Drosophila melanogaster: one gene and its partners. The protein of the gene in region 3 interacts with the protein of the main gene of each other region in a pairwise test. Each region holds a gene or a part of one and is shown on either strand. Other genes may lie near its edges. The genes, in order: CG10918, Eglp4, Tsp74F and ATPsynCF6L.

Region 1 (3,031 bases), on a different chromosome or scaffold from region 3:
CTTCTATATGGCGTCCGGATTTTCGGTCCCTACTCCTACTAGGTTCCCCGCACGTTTGTGCCCGTGCCCCCGTTCGTTGCACCACCCCTTTGGACTCGAAATGGTGCAGCATATGTCATGTGGTGTTCTCAGCGGTGTCGGGTGTTTCCTATTATGTCCAATTCTCGCTTAGCCTACCACTTATTGAAAATTCAATTTGCCCTAATAGAGCTATTCGGCAGGCAGCTGCCAAAATTAAATTATCAAAATAACTAGCCTTCATGCTGTTTACTTTATGATAACAAATGATGATATTTCATTAATCAGATGATTGATTTGCCTGTCGATATCGAAGAAATAACAGAAACGATAATTCTCTTAAGAGACAGCTTTCAATCTCATATGCTAATCGAGATATTTTTTGGTGCGAATCAAAGGTCTTAATACGAACGGACATTGCTGAATAGATTCGGCTAGTCTGTAAGACTAATATGACTGTATATGACTAATATATTCCAAGTTAATGAAATTAAGTTTCAATGTGCCAATTAGATTTTATTTTCATACATTTCCCAGAAAGTTTTCAATACGCTGCAATTGAGACTCAGAATCTATCCCGAACCAGTAGTGCTCTCCGTGGAGCTGCTATCAGTGGAGCTATCGGTGGAGCTATCGGTAGAGCTATCGGTGGAGCTATCGGTGGAGCTATCGGTGGAGCTATCAGTGGAGCTGGCAGAGGAGCTGCTGTCGGTGGAGCTGGAGGAGCTGCTAGTTGTGCTGCTGGTGTCGGCCAAGGAACTCTCCGTTGTCGTCCACCAAGGTCTTGGGCGACGAGGACGTGGACGTGGGCCCCAACCGCCAGGACCGCCGAATCCACCATTGAAGCTTCCGGGACCGCCAAAGCGGCCGGGACCTCCGAATCCTCCACCACCGCCAAGTCCTCCAGGCCCTCCAAAGCGACCAGGTCCGCCGAAGCCACCGGGGCCACCAGTACCACCAGGACCACCGCGACCGCCGAAGCCACCGCCTCCACGTCCTCCGAATCCTCCAAGACTTCGGCCACCGCCTCCGCCGCCACCGCGTCCACCACGTCTTCCGCCTCCCCCTTGGGCCACGACAACTGCCACCAGGGCCAGCAGGGTAATTGCAATGTAGGCACGCATTGTGGGACTTTTGCTCCAATAGCAACTGATTTGAGTTATGTACGTGTAGCCCCTTTTATACCCAAAAATTCGGTGTCGAATTCATCCATCAGCCTTTTTGCTAAGAATCCCCCGTGACGGCAGCATTGGCTGTGTGCTTAGCTGGATACTCCGAAGAATGGAAAATAGAGCGAAGAACTCCCTGAAGAGCTGAGCTCGAATTCTTCGCATCTAATAATCCGTGTGTTTCTCTTGTTTCATTCGTCGTGTGGCAACAGCTGGTCGATGTTTGAATTAGTTCCATTGTTCTATTCTTCTATTTTAATACAACCGTTTGAGTTTAAAAAAAAGTGCTGTGTCAGAGAGGGAAGTTTACAGAAATTTACGCAGTATCCTCACAATGAAACAAAAAACAATCATAACGTTAGCCAAATACTAAGACGAATTGTAAATTTGCTTAGAAGAAAATGAATGTCTATTTGAAGGTTTATAACCCTACTGCAAATTTTTGTTTATTTACTTTGTTTATTTGTTGTCAACAACTGGGTTACTTATTCTAATAGCACTCGTTTAAAAGTTCTCTTAAAATCTATGACTCAGTCGGAAAAATTATATTTTTTGTTCATTTTTTCATTTACATATTTATACCTGTTACTTGCTGAGTAAAGGGGTATACTAGAGTCGTAGAAGCGTATGCAACGGGTATCTGTTAGTCGGTTTACTCGACTATAGCATTGTTTTATACTCCAGCATCGAAAGTTGAATTTTCTCATGCTTTATTAAAAGTTAGGAACTATGTAAATTCATTAGTTTTTAAGGCCTTTCAATTGGTAACACTTATTCGCAGAAATAAGTCAATTGATTTGTAAATACACATGCTTAGCCTTCATTTGCGCCATTTATTTATGTCTAAAATCTATCTATATCAACTGCCAAGTAATAAACATATATTTCTTATATTAATAAAAAAATATGTATAGAAGATCGAACATCTTAGAGTGAATGTGGATTAAGTTCCTGAAAAGTAAAGCTCTGAACAGCTTTTCTGACTTTCCCAATTCGAGAGTTGCGGATGTCGAGGAAGAGAAATCTTTAACATTAGTGCTAATACATGGCAAACGACCTCGAGGAGCCACTTAATTTTCTGATTAGAATCAATCAGGGCGTCGAGTGAAATGTGCGGCTGAGACAAGGACACCTAGTTGGGCGGCGGGAGTGGGTGGCGTTTAAGAATCGCGAATATAGAATGGCGTTTCCCGCTTTCCGCACATATGGGGATTTTTAAATTGAAATTTCGAGGACCGGAAGGTGGGTGACTTCGTTTGGAGTAAAATGAAAATGAAATGACAAAGAAAAAGAAAAAGAAATTTGCGGCTTAGATAAAAAAAAAAAAAATATAAATGAAAATTAATTTTTGCGTCAAAAGTAAGTACATATGTGTGTGTGTGGCTGAAGAAACTGACGCCACATATTCACGACCGTGTCAATATAATTTTCGGATACAATCTTTTGGGTTTTCAGAGAAGCTGGTGGTTCTAGGTATTCTTCGCTGTCCCTCTTCTGCTTTCCCCTACGGCTTTCCTTCATTTTCCCGTACTTTTCCCCTTTTTCCGCCTTTTTTTCTGCGTTCTCCCAATTCCTCTTGCTTTTGCGCTTGCCCAATTGTCGTCGTTTGAACTTTTGCCCCTTTTGGAAATTTCATTAACTTTGATGCGGGAAGGTAAAACAGTTACAGGGGGGGTTTTTTAAGAGGTCTTAAAGGGGGTTTTTTTATGTGGGCAGACAGAGGGATAGTGCAGAACTGCAGAACCTTAACAATTACCACTTCACATGACACACAAACTCGCCAACTCACACAACTTTAAAGTTTTACTGCAGAAACGTGACGTTGCGTTACCCCAAGAAACACT
Region 2 (3,742 bases), on a different chromosome or scaffold from region 3:
AATCCAGCATTAGCATATCACCCATAGCACATAGTCCCCTTTAAACCACATAGAACCACATATATCATTTGTGCTTCGTATACGGACTATAGACCCGAATGGAGTACGTAACGTACAATAACTGCATATTGTTGGTATATTTTGGCTTTATTTGGCTGATACGCGCGTCTCATTCGCAGCCTGCTGATAACGTTTTTTAGCCACCATTTGATTGGTCGATTTGGAGGTACTAAGATATTCGAATATCTTATGAACAGATTTTCCAAAGACCGCTTAAGCTGATGGGCTTTTTTCACTTTCGATTCCTGGAAAAAGCTTATTGGTATTTTTAAGCCCGGAAGTTACTTAGAGCTAATCAAAGCAAATACCTCGTTATTGAAGAATGAAAAGCTTTTAGATAATATGGACTCAACATGTTTTAAGATGGCCCAGAAGAGCAGAACTTCAGGTATCAAATAACTACCAATATCTTGTGTAGAATTTCTTAAAACCATAAAAATAATTTACTTGTTTTGTTTTGGTTTTAGATTAAAAATCTCGATGTTCTTTATTTCTGAAGGCAATTAGTGTTTTCACCAAGACGTTTATCGTTTCAAGGGCTTATGTAAGTGTGTGCACTTGGTTCGCCTTTTGAAACGTTCGAGCCACTTTGTGAAGACACTGCTAACATTAGCGTACAACGAATGCATTATTTTAAAATTCGGCATCTTAGATATTAACTAAATTAGTTAGGGCTTTTCCTACAGCAATGTCTTTGGCCTTACGACAGCTGGACGTCCTCCAGTTGCCGCAGCTTCTCATTGGAGGTGATCTCCGCCTCAACCACCTCGCGGCGGAAGACGACCTTGTAGGCGTAGGCGGTGATGGCGGAGGAGCTCAGCGGGGCCAGCCAGTAGATCCAGTTGCTCTCGAAGTGCTTGTTCCACAGGGCGGGGGCGAACGACCTGGCCGGGTTCATGCTGCCGCCGGTGAAGGGACCCTAAAACCAATGGTAGGGAACGAGGTTAATAATCCGTTTCGAGGCAGGTAAGGATTAGCCAACTGTTCGCTTTAACTTACGGCAGCGCAGGCGAGACAGGCGATGGCCAGGCCAAATCGAATGCCCACGGAGTCATGGAACTTGGAGTTGCGCGGATCCCACACTCCGCAGCAGACGATGACCAGGATGGAGGTGATTACGAACTCGATGCCGAGGGCCTGGCCCGTGGTTACGCTGGTGTGGGGCAAGGTCACGCAGAGCCCAGCGCCCACCGTAAGTGTGGGCGAGGGAAGCAGGACCATGAGCAGGCCGTAGCCGATGAAGGCGCCCAGCATCTGGGCGGCGAAGTAGGCAAATGCCATGCGCAGGGTGACCATCTCGTAGATGTAGGCGGCCACGGTCACGGCGGGATTCAGATGGGCACCGGAGACGCAGCCAAAGCACTGGATGGCGATGAGGACGGCGAAGCCGAAGTTCAGCACAATCTGCAGATGGTTGTTGGGAAAGAGGTCCGTCTTCACGCAACCCATGCAGCCCAGGAAGACCAGGATGCCGGTGCCGATGAGCTCGCCGAGGAAGGCGGAGATTTTGTCCAGCGTCGATCCCTTCATTTTGAAGACCTTACAGCAACTGAAATGGTCAGAGAAGCGCTTGAATAATGCCACACTAAAAAGCGAGCTACCCTCTCTGTCGCACGCCATCGTCCATCTCTTTCTCGACTCTAAGTAGACCTGCTTAGGAACTTCATCAATCATATCCTATCTAAGACCATCCTATCGTTTCGCAAAGCCCTCCTCGATTTGCACCTAATCCCCGCGACACACTTCTACAATCTCAACTATTGTGCAACTTTGTAGTTAGTTTGTCAAGCTTCTAGACCTTTGCAACTGCTGTTCTCCTTCGGCTGCCTGGACGATTTCCTGCTGGTTTTCCACCCCTTGCGGATCCATCCCCTGCTGCTCGAGGTTCATTGACTTGGCATCGATTTTCCAAACACCCTTTTTTGGAAGCACAACTTATGCTGCTGATCCGACAAACGATGCCTGCTGCGGGAATGCCATCGATGGCTGGACTGACATGAAGTAGCCGTGTACTAAATATAGTAGACTTGTGATTGCCGTTCGGCTGTCAATTGGGTTTATAGATAAATGGCCGAAAAAATGCGAATCAAATCACGACATGGCCATAAAACAATAACCAATCTTTTTCAACCTTATCGCCTGAGCGCCACTCGAGTCAATTGGAGTTCACTACGTTGCGAATTAATCCGTTTATTGTGATTGGTAAATCCCTCTTTCTGGTAGCCAGAACTCTTGTTTTTTGTTTTTTGAATTTCTTTGGTTTCGAGTGCCAGATAATTACCGAATCTCGTGGCTCATTTTGACACTTGTCCAATTCTTTGAGATCGCACTATATAATCAATCTTTTCCGTAGCTGGTGAAAATTCACAAAGCGGCAGCGCGACTGTCAATGTCAATCTGAGGCGGTGGAGTAGCCATAGGCAAATATTTATATCTGTGTCTATATAATATTGCGTAAATCAAAAGCCCATTTTTAGCCCCTGTGAGAGAGCAGCAACACACACAGATACACACACACACATATGAAGGGGACCGACCACAAGCACACACACACACACACACACACAAAGGCGTGGAAATTAGCGAATCCTACTGGTGAGCATAAAAAAGTCAAGTGTCCAGAATTTATGAGCATCTTAAACGCTCATTCGCTGCTCTCGTTCGCTTTTGCGATTATCTCTGGAGCGATGCTCCTTCTCGCTCCCACTCTTCCTTTACCAGTCACCTGGCTTAAATCATTATAAAATGGTAGAAACAATACGGATGATATTCCATGGAAACAAGGTTAGATATTAACACTTGGTGTGCAACTGACATACTGGTTTTGCTCTATCGAATTCATTCGACTTATTCACAGCATTTTATGAGAATTATAATATTAAAGGTGGTCCTTACATTTGTTTTTTAAGTAAATTATCATTTTCATTTAACTTGTTTCTTACTATTTGTTTGCCATGAGAAAGGCAAATCTGCTAAGCAATGATTGCTAGAATTAGTAGTAACCATAGTTCCTAAAATACGACATTTTCATTGCGTGTCATTCAAACTTAGCACTAAACTGTAATTGATAGCGAAAATCCCCATAATTATTTTCAGTGTAGTTGGTCGGTGGGCGGTGGGCATAACACTGTTATGCTGTGCAAGTGCGTGACGCGCTCGCAATTGAAGCAGGCGGCATATTGCGTATTGATAACAGCAGAGTGGCACACTATCAATTACCACCGTCGCTTCGATTCCTATCAATTGCAATTGCTGCAATTGAGGATGCGTTGCGTGAATCGGGCTACCACGCAATGTGGCAAACAAATCACGGCAAATCTCGGCACGCCTGTCGATCAAATTGCACGCAATTTGCGTAGTTATGTGTCTCAATAACAATTGGATCGTCAATAAATAATAACAATTTAAAGCAAATATTTTCAAAAGCCCTGCTGTTGCACACACACCCAGTACACACAGTGGCTCAGGTGATCAGAACTTTTGACCCTCACTGACCACGCCTAATGTTTTCCATTGCTTTCTCGCCATAACACACATTGGCATTGCCACAGAAAACGGTGGAGAAAATAGCACTGCTGGTTCATTTGCGTTTTGGCCCTTGGCCAACGGCAAATGTTTGTGTTTGGCCAACTCATTGACAGTTGGTTGGTCAAAAGAGAGCGACACGTTTTGGCAAGAGACA
Region 3 (6,472 bases):
GAATAATACGGATACGCAATCAGGTTCCGGCACCTTCTCCATCAATTTATGGCTTGCGATGGGTAGTATTATAGGCTTAGTATACAGAAATCTGTTGTAGCTGTAAGTTCTTAGTAGAATAATTTTTAATAAAAGTTAATTAAAGAAAATACTTTTTTATTCAAATCTTTAAAGTCGCTTGAGTGCGAACTTATTTTCAGTTAAATAACATAAAAGTTGTTATATTATCTGATGATAATTCACTTTGTAAACACCTTCAGGTCACAGCGTGATCCATACTTTCCCTATTTTCCCGCTTCAAAAATGTGACTTAAGACAAAAAAAACCTAAAAATATGCAACAATATTGCATGTAGATTAAAGCTTCGATCAAAAACAGTTTAATACTTTAAACCGTTTTTTAAATACAAATTTTTACGTAACATGGACATATTTCATGGACCAGATCATTTTAAATATTTATCCTTTTTCGTTTTTTTTTTATACTCATATCACAACATATCGTTTAATGATAATTGGATTAAAAATAAAAAATATTAATATATATAAACATTTCCGAAGTATTTGGTTTTAACTAATTTTTATTGAAAACAACAATGGACAGACATCTAAATTCTCTATTAAGTATTGAAAAGCTCACTTAAAACTAGCAATTGTAATGGGTTGTTGATAACGGTGGCTTAAGAGGAAATTTACAAAACTTCACACAAATAATACAAATTTATGCAACAGATAATAACAATAGAATCCCTACTAAGTTCAATACTCACTAGTTATGCGTATCTAAACACGTATATACATACAATACAATACATAATACAAGCGGACAGTTGATCTGTGCAGATCTAACATTAGCATACACTCAGATAATACTCTTAATTTAACTCCAGCGAATTATGTTTAAAAATGTGTTTCTTCTGGACTGTGGACCTTGGTATCTGATTTTCCTGCGTGACCATGGGATTCCCCTCCTCGTTGGCGCTATTCGATCATATTGAATAGTAGACAGGAGAATATCATGCCAAAGATCTAAAAATAAACCAAATTCCAATTAATTATATATTATATAATAATTTTGCTACCGAAGAAAGGCGTTCACTTACCATCAGTATGGCCACCGCTATGGATGTACCTCCAATAACCGCCGCGTGATCCCTGATGAAGTTGGTCGTCACATAGAGGCATCCCTGGTTGTACAGATTCGTAATGGTCGGGAAGATTGTGCACTCCTTACGCTGTCCACCGAAAAGCTCCTGGCAACAGGACTCAGGCACTGGTCCGTACCTATTCCAGTCGTGCCACGTATCCACTCCGCAGCACTGTAGTCGCTCCTGGGTCAAATCCCAGGCCTGGGTGATCTCCCTCCTGCTTCCGTATAGTGCCATCGTGGAACGCATTTCCTATGGGATATTGGTAAGGGTTAATGTGCCACCCACGTGTTGTTATCGATGGATTTGCCTCACCTGCCGCATGGTCTGCTGAACTCGTTCGCGGAACACGTAACCCAAGACACCGCCAATTAGCATGGTCACGAAAACTAGGGCCACTATTATGAAATACTGCAAAGGGAAAACGAGTGGTTAATTTTTTAGCTAAATGGTGTTTGCATAATAGTAAAGAAGAGACTGACAACATTTAGAAGATTAAATCAAATAGATCATTTCTTTAGATGGTATCTTTGTAAATATGCAAATCCAGATATGATTACTCCAAAAAGGACAAAGTTAATTATTTAATAAAATGAAATTTTTGTTTTTATTGTTTGTTGTTTACTTACTGTTAGGAGGAGGCATTTGACTTCTTTTCCGGCACCAACACAACCCAAAAAGGACACCAGACAAATGATAATCGATGTAACCAGCAGGACGTAGACAGCACCCGAGAAAAGATTTGTACCGAGCAACTCATTGACGAAACTCCGATCCACCAGAGTCCACAGGGTGAGACAAAACACAATCGCTCCACCCACCTGGAAAATACATATATTTTGGTATTATTTATTTCTCTTAAATTGTTTTTTAATTCAAGCGACTCCTGGATACTCACGAATATCACAAAGTTGGCTATGAAAAGACTGTACTTGACGAACTGCCCGCAGCAGTCCATTCGCGAACTGAAGCCCATATCGTCTTCCTTTGAAAGGATAATACATTTCAATTAACCAATTCAATGGGATAAAAAGATTTCACATTGTTTACTTTTGTCTACAGGTGAAGAGCCCCCAGAGGATATTGATGCGAGGAGAATTATGCAGGGAATTTGGGGTAGGATGAGATGCAGAGGTTCTTGATGGCGATACAACTCTATAATCCAAAGACAGATAAAAATAATTTCACACTATGCTTTAATTAAGTTAAAGTTCTTAGAGATCATTCAATTTCAACAGGTCCTTAGCGATAACCAAGTTAATCATAACTCATCATCCCGATTTCAAATTAGCTATTTTTGGCCTACTCTCTATTGCAATGTGATGTAATCTCAAGAATGTACTTTTTAACGAGTTTCTTTCGCGTAAGATTCACTCCAACATATGGGCTGCCTATCAATGGTGTTCGGCTTGGCGAGTGGTGCGCATGCGCATGCGCATGCGCAGCTGTGGTTTCGGCCGAACGTTTCGCTCTTTCTAAGCCGGGTCCGAACCGCGAAGCGACCGAAGTACACTTAACCATGACCCACTTTATGGAACTGCGACTGAGCAGCGAAGCTGCCAACGCTATGTGCCTAGACAAGCGTTCATTATCGGCGGTGGCTGCCAACGTCTTGTGGATTTTGTCAGTTACGGCTCTAAAGACTCGCGTTTTTTTTTTTTTTTTTGGTTACTTACATCGCATTAGGCCCACTTGAAGGGTTCGCTGCGCGGCGATTCCGAGACGAATTCCCCCCGTTGAAGTTGGAGCGATCAAAACAAATAAATCAAAGTAATAGCCTGCCCGAAAATTTGTCAGCTAATTGTAGTGGTTTAACTACGAGTGCCGTCCCAGCTCTGAATCATCTTGGCGCAGTGCGATGTTCTAAATGCTAATTAAAAGTAATTGCAGGCTGAGCAGTCGGGTACCCCTTCACCCCACTAGCTGGTAAACGACATCTCATTTCGAGCATTATTCTCCAAATTCAAATATGTTAAGCCGCAGTCGAGTTCGCCAGGTAATTGGCGGGGCTATTAAAAAAATGTTCTCACACTATCTGAATATTCACTATATTTCATTCGACGTTATCATGTTAAGCGAATCCGAATCGTGCCTGAGATGACAGTAAGTCATCCGAAAGTCGCCATTAATGATGACGGGGCGTTGGCGGCGGGGCGAATCACTATATCTGCCGCTTGTAAGCTGAGACCAATTAAGTTTATGGTAATTGTTCAGCTGTACGTGCTACACATGGTAATAGATCACTTAAAGCTCGGATTCCAAGTCCTGTCACTCATGAAAAACTTAGAAAATCAGACTTTTTAAGTACTATCTACTAAACTCTGAGCTCACTCTTTTATGCTCCTTTCATACCCTGTTATCTATCTGTAATCATAGGAATAATAGCTTTACTAGGTCATTTATGTTTAAAACTCGTATGTAATCTTTATTTGTAGGTGATGTTAGCTTAAAAGTTAGTGAGCAGAATCGGTCGAGGCTATAAATATGAAATATGTACTCCTTGTTTATACTCGAAGCTTGAAAATATAGCAGTGAAAATAGGAAAGTGGTCGCATTTGAAGGACCTCTGTATGAAATTTATGATTAATTAAAACAAATGAAATATTATCTAATAAGCAAATTCACTTACAAGTTTGCCGTCCCGTAGCACAAACGAAGTTTTCGTTAGGTAACCAATTTTGGCGGTTTTCTTTCTCAGCTTTGTGTATGTAAATTGCCTTCAATTTGTTGTTTTGCAAAAACACAAAGCAAAACAAAAGAAACGGCTACTATTTTTAGTTGCACTTGAATGCACAGAAACTTTGGGAGTGGCTATAAAAAAAGAAGGAAATTATTTTAACCCTTTCAATTAACATTTTTGTGGTAAGAAGTAGAAGAGTTTTTAATTTCACTTTTATTTATAAACAACTTTTTGATGAAGACGCATTCATTCATTTTTTCGGTCGATTTTATTAACTTGTTTAAATTTTTGGTTCATTCTTCATTCAGATCACTTCATTCAGATCAAAAGAGATCGCAAAGTTTACATACGCATATAGCAATTTATGCAATATTCGTTAATATTTGCTCTCGAATTTTTATGAAACTTTTTTAATACAGGTTTCTTGCATTTGTTTTAAGCGTCACTCGCAGTTGATAATTGTTATTGAGTTTTTATTCGATTGCTGTTGCTGTTATTGTCAATTGCAGTTCTCCCATGGCAAACAACTTTTTTTTTGCCGCCTTGCTTTTAACATTTGCTTTTCAAGTTACGTCACGCTTGCCAAGGCAGCATTATCCTTAGCGGAGTTATCACTGTACTGTCGGGATATTTCGTGGGGATAAAACTATACGATTCACTTGATGGACCTAAGTCTCGCCTTACAGGGATTGAGTGGATCCGGGGAGCTATGATACTATGGTTTTATATGTGGGACAGGGACGACTCTACCGCCCGAGAGCTCGCTTGGAACTGGTTGTGGGAACAGTCGGGGCGATCGGTTTTTTATTAGTTTCGCTCACAAAGAGCTTCGTTGTTGGGCTTTTTCTGGTCTCGGTCTCTCGACATTACAACAACTTCGACTTGAGCCCCTGTTTTCGAAGGCTTAGCACTGCAGGTGCGAGAGAGATGGGAGTCTCTACTCGCTTACAAACCGCAAATACTTCTCTGAATGTTTTCGTGCTTCTCTCTTATTTATTCATCTATTTTTCGGCTTCTTTTACCCACACTTCCCTTTGCGGAGTCGGCATGTGAAAATGCGTTGAGCAAACAAAATATGATCCGTCGTCCACAGCCAGCACCTTTGTTTCATTTCGGGCAATTGCAAAATATAAATATTGATAAGCAAACGAAATTTGATATTTGTTTTAGTTCTCGGTCTGCACATGGCAATGTCCGCATAATTGATTTTGGAGGCAAATCTATCCGAATTGGTTACCGTTTTGTTATAACAGTTTAAGTTTAAATACTTTTTGAACAAGGATTATTTGTAATGATTGTTTTCTTTCTTCAGTTGGATCATTTGCATCTATTTGCAACCATATTTATATTCAATATACGAGTGTTGATCAGACAACTTGATAAAGCCAAGTTTGTCAGTCCGTTCCTTTCTTACGCATTCTAGAATCATAGTTTTAAAGCTTGGAACTTTTCTAAAAATCTTCTTTTTATTGCTCGTAGTATGTGAATTTGTCTTCTGTATCATGTATGTATAAATATCGAAATTTAATTGAAAATATTAGAAAAGAAATCAAACATTGGCGAGGCTATCTTTCTTTCTTGATTTCAAGGGCTTAGTGTTCCAAGAGAGCACAAGGAAAATATGCTTATTATCCGTGTTTCATGTTACTTTTGCTGGTCGAACTCAATTGCTGTGCCGAAGGACAACCTTTGGCAATTAACAGCTTAATTTTCTTGTTAGTCGAACAAATAGTTTTGGCTGAGTTGAGTAATTTTTTAAGCAGTTTCCAAGCTAAGGTCAGAAAGTTGGCTGCCGATAGACGAATAGCTCACCCTCCCTACTTACACTCCACAGCACGGTTGAAAAGCGCTCAAATTGTTGGCTTGTTTAGCACTTTTATGGCCGTGTTAACAACAACCACCCGCCATGTCCCCGTAATCACCGACCAATGTGTTAGTTGCATGGCGAAAATAAAAATAAATCATAAAAAAAAGAAAAACAATTACTCTGCCTGTTGATTTTGCATCTTATAAACTCGCTGTGGGAACCTTTTGCGTTTTATAGATGCCATAAAATCCATTTCCACACACTCGTCCCACAGGCGCCTCATGATAAAATATTGCTCAGAAATCGAAGTTTGCGACTAGTGCTCAGTTATTCTTGCTCAAGTGGCCAAGAATCATTAATATTATGGGGAATTCTTAATTTTAAGCCAGTCAATTTCGCCTATGAACCTATACTTACTGAGATCCGATTAGTGTGAGCGAGTTGAAAGCCTCGTTGAGCTCGGCGAAGGTGACAAGCGTCAGAAGCGTTAAATTGTGGCACTTTAACTGATTGGAATGAGTCAAAAATTGGGAAGGCAAGCAAATGACTACTGGTAGTGGAAGATATAATTAAAATGTTAACCGAACTGCGCATACAACCGAGTTAACACAGCAACATGCATCATACATTATCAGATGCAAACTAAAGTGAAACATTGAAAAAACAACAAATGCAACATTTTTGATTCTCACATGACTTATCATAGCTGCTATAACTCTACTTACGCCTTCGCCACTTACTGATCTTCGTATAAAAGCTATCTCAATCAATCAAAAATTTGCATATTGCATTAATAAATTAATGAATCTATGGGAATGTGTAGTGCTCGTGAATAATG
Region 4 (2,773 bases), about 13 Mb from region 3:
CTTGGATCTTTGGATCCTTGAGGCCGACTGTAGCGGAGCGGCATAATAAAATAAAAAAGCATAAATGAAAGCGAGGCCAGGCCACGAAAATAATTTAAATTTATGTACTTGTGCGTATTTATTTGTGCGTTTGGCTTGTATTTCCTTCGCGACGTCTCTTGATTTGTTTTTCTCGCTCCCACGCTCGTCCTTTACACGCTGCCTCCTCTCGCTTGCCATCGTTTTATCAAGAGCAACAGCAGAAAGCATTAAATTCAATTTGCTTGTGTGAGTATCTGTGTGTCTGCCACTCAGCGTCAGTTACACGGAAAAAATGGAAGTGGGTGGGATGGGGCGTGCGGGAGCGCCAAAGGACGAAGGACCAAGGGGAGGGACAAGGCCATGCGAATGGCGGCGACCTGTTGTGTTGTTTAAGGAATTACTTAACATGGTAAAAGCATGGTGTGTGTGAGTGCTGCTTATGCATGTATGTGCTTAATAAAAATTTCGGTGCGTTCTTTTTTCGGCTCTATCCTGGAACAGCTACAAACGGGTAGCTCGAATCTGCAGGCATTTAAATTCATTTTCTTTTAACATAAACATTTTATAATTTTTAAAGTATTAAGAATTGTGCGAAAATTTTAACAACATTTAAAACGATTATTTTTAGTGATGATCTACTTTATCTTGTCCTTTTCATCCTTGCCCTTTGGTTCGTCAGCTTTCTTGCCATCTTTGGCTTTCACTTCTTTTTCCCCACCCTTTTCTTTGGCCTTTACTTCTTTATCTCTATTCTTTTTCTCAGGCTTTGGTTGGTTCTCTGGTCTAAGTAAATATTTATATTTTTATAAAAACTTTTTCCAATTTAACTGTAACTTACAGATCATCAACCGAAATGGGATCAATATCAATATCGGGCAACTTGAATTTCGGAAACTCGAGCATATCCACGCCCTCGCCGCCGCCGTATTGCAGAGCCAGGCGCTCAGTGACTTCCTTCAGCTCCGCCTCGAATTCCGGACCAGGATCTACGGGCTTTCCCTTGGGACTCTTCAGCCGATACTCGCGCACCTTGTCCAGGAAAATCTGATAAATGGGATCCTTGTAGCGAAGGGATGCGGTATTGCTCACACTCCTACATAAAACTAGGCTTGGTTTTAGGAAACGGCTAAACATTTTTTTGTTAGTTTTGTTCTCTGCTGACACGATACTGTTTCTATGCGATAAAATATGATTCTGAGATATCTTACTCAAGGGTAATTTGATTTCAAAATTAAAATAAAATCATTGTCTTCAGAACAGGTAAGCCATCTTTTTTTAAGATTTGAATTTATATTTTTAAACGTTTTATATCTTTTATTTTGAGTATTTTTTGCGTTTATCAAACCCCGCATTTTGGGCTAACGCATCTGAAGTGCTTCCCTGCTCCAGGACGAATTTTTACGCACCGTTGCTGCCCGTTCTCCTTTATTCCCGAGCGTGTAAGATTTTCTCTCTGTCTGACTCGTCGTATCTGCGAATGTCTGTGTGTGAGTGGGCTTGACAATGCGAGTGCCATCTCGACAAGTTTTTCTCAAAAAGTGAGACAAGTGGAAATCCGTTAAAGAAATACGTGAAACACATAAAGGCGATGATGTTGCTGCCGTCAACTTGCTGTTGCTGTTGCTTATGTGCACGCAGCAAGATACATAAATATATGCGCGTGTGTGGACAAAGAAATGTCGGCGGCAGCAAATAAAAATTAATTGAAAAATGTTTATCAAGGACTTTGCAGGGGAAAAATTTAAATGCACAGAGCAGAAAAGAGCTGAAAAGAGAACTGAGCCGTCGGACAAACTCTGATAATTGATGGGAAGACATGGCTGTGAAAATTATAATTAATATAAATTTCCATTCACCTTTTTTCCCCTCCCGCACCATCGCTGACAGTGCAAATAAATGGATCATTGTCGAGTGCGAAATGAGGAATGTGTAGCTTCTAAACCGGGCTTAATCGGCCATCGCCACATGCGGCTCATTTCAAATGCAGCCAGCACTCATGCTGCGTTTCGCATCCGCCACTCGAATTAAAATATACGAACATATAGTACGTACATATTGTGTGCAAAATATCCACACCGAACTAAAAATTATGCAACGCATTAAAAATTTAACAAGCGCTTATCCGCTTAGTGCAACGCCCGCAACACGAGGGGTTTTTGTACGCCAACGTCACTTTCAATATTTAAATTTTGACATTTTCTGCATTTGACGCCGCCATGTAGTGGAACGAGGTGTGGGGGGGGGAGGGGGGAGCGCTGCGCGGGACATGGACAATATTGCATCAATGCAAATTGGGCAGAAATAATATGCAAACATTGGCACAAACAGAATGGCAACCTAATTGGCAGCAATAACAAACTTCCCACGCATCTGACATTCCAATGAAGAGGGTTGGCTGTCGTCCTACGTGTTTTGAATCGATCAAGTTTCTAATACAAATACTAATATAAGTTTTTGTCAAAAAAACTGAGTTGAACTATAAATATTAAGAGGTTTTTTATCTGTGTTTAAAATATTGAAACTTGTTTTATCAACATACTTGCGATCCTATTTCTATTAGTATTTTTGTTCGGTGCACCAATAGTTTAAGCGTTCATTGGCGAAAACAAGAAGACGTGAAACGGTTATTGCCTGCTGGTGGCATATATCAGGTCTTTTTTGTCTGGTGCCGAGCGCATGTATCTCAATCTTCATTCCGACTACTACACAGAGCTAAGGATTAAGCAGTTGTGCGGCTGCCACGCCCCCGCCA

What was found.
Region 1: the proteins of Tsp74F (region 3) and CG10918 interact in a two-hybrid assay, tested with the Drosophila melanogaster proteins (one large-scale study listed by BioGRID).
Region 2: the proteins of Tsp74F (region 3) and Eglp4 interact in a two-hybrid assay, tested with the Drosophila melanogaster proteins (one large-scale study listed by BioGRID).
Region 4: the proteins of Tsp74F (region 3) and ATPsynCF6L interact in a two-hybrid assay, tested with the Drosophila melanogaster proteins (one large-scale study listed by BioGRID).

Annotation. Positions count from the first base shown.
Region 1 is NC_004354.4:21,428,102-21,431,132, forward strand, and holds CG10918 (uncharacterized protein), read right to left. Parts: upstream 1,156-3,031; 5' UTR 1,143-1,155; coding exon 591-1,142; 3' UTR 513-590; downstream 1-512.
Region 2 is NT_033778.4:23,607,073-23,610,814, forward strand, and holds Eglp4 (entomoglyceroporin 4), read right to left. Parts: upstream 1,859-3,742; 5' UTR 1,735-1,858; coding exon 1,060-1,734; intron 980-1,059; coding exon 761-979; 3' UTR 520-760; downstream 1-519.
Region 3 is NT_037436.4:17,891,255-17,897,726, forward strand, and holds Tsp74F (tetraspanin 74F), read right to left. Parts: upstream 4,609-6,472; 5' UTR 4,512-4,608; intron 3,959-4,511; 5' UTR 3,777-3,958; intron 2,303-3,776; exon of another isoform or gene 2,198-2,302; intron 2,133-2,197; 5' UTR 2,124-2,132; coding exon 2,046-2,123; intron 1,969-2,045; coding exon 1,777-1,968; intron 1,559-1,776; coding exon 1,463-1,558; intron 1,400-1,462; coding exon 1,103-1,399; intron 1,029-1,102; coding exon 981-1,028; 3' UTR 566-980; downstream 1-565. Other genes in the region: CG7402 (uncharacterized protein), read left to right, coding at 1-100.
Region 4 is NT_037436.4:5,010,941-5,013,713, forward strand, and holds ATPsynCF6L (ATP synthase, coupling factor 6-like), read right to left. Parts: upstream 1,194-2,773; 5' UTR 1,156-1,193; coding exon 860-1,155; intron 805-859; coding exon 657-804; 3' UTR 504-656; downstream 1-503.